2 linked regions of the Caenorhabditis elegans genome follow. The protein of the gene in region 1 interacts with the protein of each later gene in a pairwise test. Each region holds a gene or a part of one and is shown on either strand. Other genes may lie near its edges.

Region 1 (3,755 bases):
AGATCTATAACCACTAAATTCAGTGAATATTTTCATTTTTCCCATCCATCACCTTTGTTTTTTGCCGTACTAGGTGGTGATGGTGACACGGGAATATGGAGAAAAAAGAGGCGTAGAAGAAGAAGAAGAAGCGGTGACGATAATAGGTACGTTGGTCTAAAGAAAAAGAGAGAAAGAGCTTGTTTGGGTGGTCTTCTTTTCTTTTTTTTCTGCTTCTACTCTCGCTCCCCCGTCCTTCTCTCACTCCACCACGAGCGCCTCTATTTTGACTGGCGCCGCGTCGGTCATCTGACTGCTTCTCTCTTTTTTTCATTCTTTTTCTCTTTTTCTCTCTATCCATCTTTTTTCGGCGCGCGCTTCTCCTGGCGCTTCTCGTGGGCTCTGGGAGTCAGGTCCCTTCTGCTTTTTGGCTCCGCTTCAACGGAGTCATTGAGCTCACGAAAAGGGCATTCCAAGTTGGTATTTTTTGGTTTAATATTTATATTTTCTAAAAATTTAATTATATTGTTATTCATATAGTTTTTTGTAAGCTTAAAAAATGATTGTTTTCGTTAGTATCTAACCACATTGTAATAATTGAATATTTAATTGTTTTTTCCGGTCAGGACTTTACATATTATTCATGTTAAGCTAACTTTACAGATAATCATAAGTTTATGAAATTAACAAGAAAAACCGCAAGTCTTGTACAATACTTTCGCAAGTTTAAGGGTCTGCAGACCGGCCTGGGCTTATGATTGCTCTTAGGATTAGGCTCAGGCTCAGGCTCAGGCTCAGGCTCAGGCTCAGGCTCAGGCTCATGATGAGGCCTAGGCTTAGGCTTAGTTCGTTTTTTTTCAGATTGTCTTGATTTCTTAAAATTCGCGTCATTAGACGAAATTCCCGCTAGGTATAGGCCGCCTCCGACTGCGTTTTTACTTTTTTGACCAATCTACCATCTAATTCTAGGGTTCTTTCATTATCTCTGTCACTTTTTCATTAAATTTGTATCTTTCAAAAGTGATGAATAACTGAGTTAAACCAACACAGCATGGCGCCAATAAATCGTCCGTCGCCGCGTCCTCCTCCCTCTCTCCTCCGCCGCGGCCGCTTCCCGACGCCATTCCGCATATATTTAGTGGATTCTACTGATGTGGAGCCAATGGAAACCGGGAGAGGGGAGAGGCTCCAAACCGGCGGACGGACCCCTGCTGCGACCAGCTGGCGCCTGGCGCGACCATTTTGTTCCCCCTCACTGCATCGTTTACTACTAGTGCAGTCTCTGTCAAAAGAGCACACTCTCTTCCATTTTTTATGTTTACAACAACTCGAAGAGGGCAATCTTAAACTATTCATTGGAATTTTGGAAAACATCGGAACATTATCTAAATATTTTTAAGAAGTCTACGAATTTTGAACTTTTTGAAAAAAAGCAATCTAGCAAAATATTTTCAACTAAATAACTTTTTATCATATGTTGAGGAGGTTTAGAAAGATTGAAAGCACTACAATTAGAGGTGAATTGGAATGTCCTTGTTTGCTCTCTGATTAAAAAAAATACAAGTTCTAGTAAAATAGTTTTGTAGATCCCAATCCAAACCAGAGAAAACTCATGATCTCACAATTTTGGAATAACCCTATCATATTTTTTCAATTCTCCGATGGTACCACTTCCTTTTCTTCTATTGCACCTAAATATTAATATTCCCTTTACTTTTGTTTTTTGTTCACCTTAATCGCAATTGTCACTTAATTCCTCTATTAGTACGCTTCTTGCATCTCTTGGATTTGTTATTCAAATGTTCTAAAACAATTGAGACATACCGTGTAGATAGTTTTGAATTCATCGTATTTTCCATTAATTTTCCTCTTTTCAGACCGCCTGTATGGTGGACACCATGATGAACACAAATACAGATGGTGTCACAGCGGTTCCTCCGATCTTTCCACTACCGTCGACGACACCAAACAGAAATAATAATAATGAACTGGCGATGTTGGCACAGAAGCAAATAGTCGCCGGATTACTGTTACAACAACCAACGATTGTGCAGGCAGCGGTGAATGGAACCAATTCGCAAAAACATTTGGCAGATATTGACTATACGAATGTTATTCAGGTGAGAGATGGGCTCTTTGTGGTTTTGACTCCTTGATTAATATATTGAGTTATAGATGTGAAATTGATTCTCTTGAAAGACTTTTTAGATATTCATGTTCGAGTAAGTCTATCTGTTATTTTTCAGACTCTTCAAGCCCTTGGCACTACAAATCTAAAAGCATTCTCTCTACTTCTTGATCCACAATCCCAAACATCTCAGTTAATATCTGAAGATACACGTCCATCTGCCAGCTCATCACCGTCTTCAACTGCAACTGCAGTATCTAACAGTGGACAATCAAACGCAACATCCACGTCATCATCGTCCACAGAACCCGAATATAAACCGAGAAATGTGCGAGAAAAAGTGTATGCAGATGGATATATCATGTCATTTGATAAGAAATCGTGTTGTGGAACTAAAGAATTTTGGAGATGTGAACGAAAGAATGATTGTAATGCAAGAATGCATTCAGATATCAATACACGAGAAATTGTGAGAAAGTTACATCCACATAATCATGAGAAACCGTCGCCCGAAGAACTTGCATTTTATGAGCAAGATTTCTCTACTCTCCATCCAAATTATTGTCATCCAGTGAAAAGTGTGAGTTTTTTTGAGCTAAAAGATTTATGGTGAATATTCAAAACTTGAAATATTCAAAATAGTTAGAAATAAAAAGTCGAGAAAGAACGAAAATGTATGTACGCCGAAACGTTATATGTATTTCGATTTTTACTAATCGCCCTGCTTGAACTTCCTCTAAAATGATAAATGTTAGACCAATCAGCGATTCGCTCCGCTCATTTTCCAACCAATCAGACGGAGTGGGCGGAGTTTAAAGACGCAGTGGGCGTGGATTTTCATCGCGGGGGGTTACAGGGAAACCAGCCAAAATAAAAAAGTTTTTTTTTAGTTTTCGGTAGATCCTGTAGGCAGGCAGGTAGGCACAACACTTATTGTTAATAAAACATTCGGATTATGTGTAACTGCTAATTTCATGTTTTTTGATTTAAGAATTCCAAAATTTCCCAATCTTTTTTAAATTGAAATCTTTTAGATCAACCGATCCTACATGCAACGAAAACTGAGCCGTGCCTCACATGTATCACAAGCTCTACCAATTGCTCCACAACAAATTAAAGCTGAACCAATGGAAGTTGACACGACAAATCAAACAATTCAAAACTTTCAACAAAACAATAATTTAATGCTTCTCGCCTCAATCAATGCAGCAGCAACTGCGGCTGCAGCTGCAACTTCTGCTGGAATAAGTCCGCCGGTTGTTGGACAGAAAAGAGTATCAACGACTGTGATGCCTATCACTTTGAAATCGGTTTGTTTTTCTTGAATAATTATGCTTTGTTCAAACATCATAAGGTTGGAACTTTTCAAAACTATAGGTTTGAGCCAGAAAAACGGAAATGAACTAAAAAAAATGATACGAATTTCTAAAATTCAGGGCCAAATTCGAAAATTTCGAACAACTTTGGAATTTCTTAATATTTTCAGCAACGCACAACTCCTAAAGAAGAAGAAGATTCATCTCAATTGATGTCACAAGAAGAATTCCGTATCACTTACGAATTGACCAAAAAGCTCATGGAAATGATGAAGCCAAAAACTGAAATTGGAGTTCGATGGCAAGGAGATGAAGGGTCAATTCTTTTGTTC
Region 2 (3,755 bases), on another chromosome or scaffold:
TTAACCGTAAGCCTAAGTCTAAGCTTAAGCTGAGCACTACTAGTGAGCAAAATGGGGGTAATGTGTGCATATAACAGCATCAGAAAAATAGTCAAAATTTAAAGAAAACTAATCACAATCTCACAAGCTTTAAGATCCAGGAGAGATTCAAGCTGTCTAGTAGAATAGGATTTAAGCTCGCCGAGGAGAAATAGAAGCCTTCCAGATTTGGACTTTGAAGACTCCAGGTGCAACTGATTGAGAAGGCCGATACAGATATCAAGTTGGCGATCGAATTTGAGATCAGTGCCATCTTTGGCTGAAATTTTAGTTTCTGAAAGCTCAGCAGCTTTTCTAGTTAAACTTACTTTCCGTGAAAATAATAATTCCCTTCAAGAGGAAATAATCCTGCGCCGAAAGTTCGAGGGATTTGAATTTCTCAGCCAGTTGTGCAAATTTTTCATCGATGAAGATTTTTTCGGAGTTTTCGAACAACGCGAGGCACAAAAGATGTGGCCACTGGGTCAGTATGATCTGGCTCTGGAAATTTTTTTAATGACTTTTATGTTTGGCATTTAGACCTTTTCAACATCGGAAAGCACTGCGAAGAGCGAAAACTGTTGCACCCACTGGAGTGCGTTTTTCAGATGAACTAGCACGGAGCTTGTGTCCTGAAATTAAATTTGTGGTGTCTCAGGTTGATAGTTTGTCTCCTGATTAACTAACAATTTCATGTTGAGCATGTTCGTGTTGGAATCTGAGACGATCAGAGTGAGTAGGCAGAAGTCCCTTGGAATACTCTCGGAATGAGGGCAACTCGACATACTCTACAGTGTAGCTATGGGAAGTTCTCTCGGGTTGCACAGCTGGAAAATAATTATTTAGAGACGAAACTGTGTCGCCTTCGCCGGCTTCAGGAGGCTTCTGCCGGCCTCAGGCCTTTGTTAATATGGTGCGGCGCGAAACTCAAAAAAATGTCGGCCACTGAAAAATACCTACCGCACTATATGGTGCAAACACAAAGTTAATGATCTGAAGCCCAAACTCAGAGAAGCAGCTTACCATTCTTATTCATCCCCTTCTTGAAGCACTTTTTAATTCGACAGGACTTGCACCTGTTCCGGTTCGCTTTATCAATCACACAGTTTCCGTCTCCATTCCAACATCCATGTACCAACTTGTTTCTAACGGTTCTTCTGAAGAACCCACTGCATCCGAAACAGGTTGGCACACCTAAAATTCATTGTTATCTAGTTTCTAAATCTTCTTTCCAACCGTAATGATTTCCGTTAGAAGTGTCCCCACAAACTGCACAAAGCGTGATTGGAAGAGTTATGTTGTTTTGCGCGGGGTCATTTACAATCTGCGGTTGGATGACCAGAGGCACTGAAAGTTATAGATATGCGTGAAAGATTGTAAATCTTCTGTCATAAAACTTTTGAACTAAGTAAATTGAGAAGCTGATAAGTGCGGTCAAGTTTTGTAAGCTTCTGGTTTTTCTACTTACCGCCCGCAAACCTCTGTCAGGTTATAACGTAACTGGGATCTAAATAATGGAAACATAGAATACATTTTTGAGATGTCAACAAGTATAGTACAAAAATTGCTATCAATCTGTTCGAAAATGTCAAAAAAATTCCAAAATCTAGAAAACAACGTTGCAAGTTTGTTTTCGACTTCTAAAAATTTTCTGATATATTTTACCAAATGCTTTCATTTATACATTTCGGTGAGTTGAGTAATTATCTAGTTAAAGCATGAAAAAATTTTTCGATCCCATAAATTGGGGCATACCTGTTGAAGTTTCCAAAATGCCACCGATTGACTTCGCATTTTGGCTGCTCATCTTTTTTTGTTAAATATTCTCTCGTTGAGTAAGTTGAGAATATCCTGTCAGTATCTACAATAATAGCATAAAAATAATTTGGTTACTGCTCAACTTCTAATCACGACTCCTCCCACTTGACCTGTTGGAGGCAGCCGGCTTAGTACAAGAAGGATAAAGTGACAGTTAGAGAAACGAGAGAAAAGGTGCCAAAAGTTGAGCAGCAATCTCTCTAAAATTTTTTGCAGATATACCATACTTCAGATCACTTGTGTATTTAAAGTTGAAATCAATCAGAAGCAAACATTCACTAGGGAATGATCGAATTGAAATAAAATTTGGACTATAAATTGTTGAGTCATAGAAATGCGGAAATTGTCCGCTGGAAATATATGATATCACATTTTCTGAAAGCGGAAATTTTCGTAATATATGTCATTTTTCATTTAAATACTTTTTCATTTTAAACGAAAAATGTCTTTAAGCTAACCTAGCGCAAAAGATGGTGGAAAAAAAACTGAGATCTTCATTGAAAATTTCAGAATATTCAGATTTCGATTCAGTTGTATATTTAATTAAATTCTGAAATTTGACATACATTTTCCAATTACGTACTTTTCAGATTTTGGTCATTTTCAGTTAAATGCAATAAAGATATAAAACTGTAAAACCTATGTATAGCATCTAGTATACTCGGAAACAAGTATTTTCTCACATTCAGTTTCTAGTCAAAAATATCAAAACGCTCTCAATGTGAAGCACAAAAGCCCAGCAAAAAATTGACTGAACCGCACCAAACACATCTAAAAAATGCCTACTGCTTCCTAGCCTACACATGTGCTCACCATTTCCCGCAGCTATTCCTTTTTATCGAATCGTACGTCGTTATCCGTCACTGTGTTTACACAAGTCTAATTTTTCAGAAGAGCATATTAATCATCATTCCATTTTTTATGGCTCCCTACTGAATGGGGTGATCAAAAACTGAAATTATGCAAACTGCAAAATTCTACTTTTGACCTGAAATTCGAGCCGTCGGTCTGTCTCAAATTTATTCAATACAAAAACTTTTAAAAAAAATCATATTTTTTAAAATTTAATTTCAGTCACTGTCCACAATCTTCTTTTTTGTCAATCGAAAGTGTTCTGTGCTAAAGTCCAAGATAAAATCTGTGCCATTCTCGTTATAATCAATTTTGGCCCGTTCTTCTCCTTCGTAGTCCAGAATGAAAACTCTCACTATTTCGATAATGTTGGTTTCGGGGAACTTGAAGCACCCGTTCTCGAAGTCCACTGATTTTGTGAGCAACTGAAAATAATACTTGGATTTTTTTTCGATTTTTTATTTAAACTTACATCTCTCAGTTTTACTGCATCCTCTTTTGAAAAGCAAGGTACAATTACATAGAACTCTCTGAAATGGAGCATATCCTCGACAGAAACCTTATAACTCTTCCAGAACGAATCAAAAACTTGTGCTCTTTTCCATTGCTCAAGTTTAGCGATTTTCTCGAGATCTGTGGGCTCATTGGAAAGCAGCTCAATTTTTTCAAGATATCCAGCTTTTAGGAAAGGGATCACTAATAGAAGCTGCTCCTCGGAGAAATCTGTCCCATGAAACTTTTTAACGTGTAGGCAAGACATGGAGGATTTCAAAACATCAAGAAGAGTTGAAAAATAAGTCCCAGTTTGCTCAACATCAACAGAAAGCTGAATCGGAAATTTTTCCAAGCGAAGTGCCGGATTCTTCATGATAATTCCAAAGTCATTGAAAGCCACATCAACAGATTTTGCACCAATAATTGTTTTTGTCTTCTGTCCATACTTCAGGACACAATCACGTCCCACGCTGCTATATTTGATTTCCATGTTATCCACGAGCAATGATGTGTAATTCTTTTTCACAAAAAATCCTAGAGTTTTGAAGCCAGGGTTGTGAGTGTCAATAACT

What was found.
Region 2: the proteins of flh-2 (region 1) and nhr-111 interact in a two-hybrid assay, tested with the Caenorhabditis elegans proteins (one large-scale study listed by BioGRID).

The regions. Positions count from the first base shown.
Region 1 is NC_003281.10:4,950,268-4,954,022, forward strand, and holds the start of flh-2 (FLYWCH transcription factor 2), read left to right. Parts: upstream 1-1,856; 5' UTR 1,857-1,865; coding exon 1,866-2,099; intron 2,100-2,225; coding exon 2,226-2,687; intron 2,688-3,141; coding exon 3,142-3,417; intron 3,418-3,593; coding exon 3,594-3,755. UniProt on the Caenorhabditis elegans protein: Probable transcription factor. May bind to the promoters of target genes, including micro-RNA genes, in order to repress expression, and acting redundantly with flh-1 and flh-3.
Region 2 is NC_003283.11:16,122,957-16,126,711, forward strand, and holds the start of nhr-111 (Nuclear hormone receptor family member nhr-111), read right to left. Parts: upstream 1,884-3,755; 5' UTR 1,826-1,883; coding exon 1,774-1,825; intron 1,366-1,773; coding exon 1,255-1,365; intron 1,213-1,254; coding exon 1,042-1,212; intron 846-1,041; coding exon 706-845; intron 651-705; coding exon 561-650; intron 520-560; coding exon 348-519; intron 299-347; coding exon 99-298; 3' UTR 1-98. Other genes in the region: fbxa-143 (F-box domain-containing protein), read right to left, coding at 2,907-3,113, 3,161-3,755. UniProt on the Caenorhabditis elegans protein: Orphan nuclear receptor.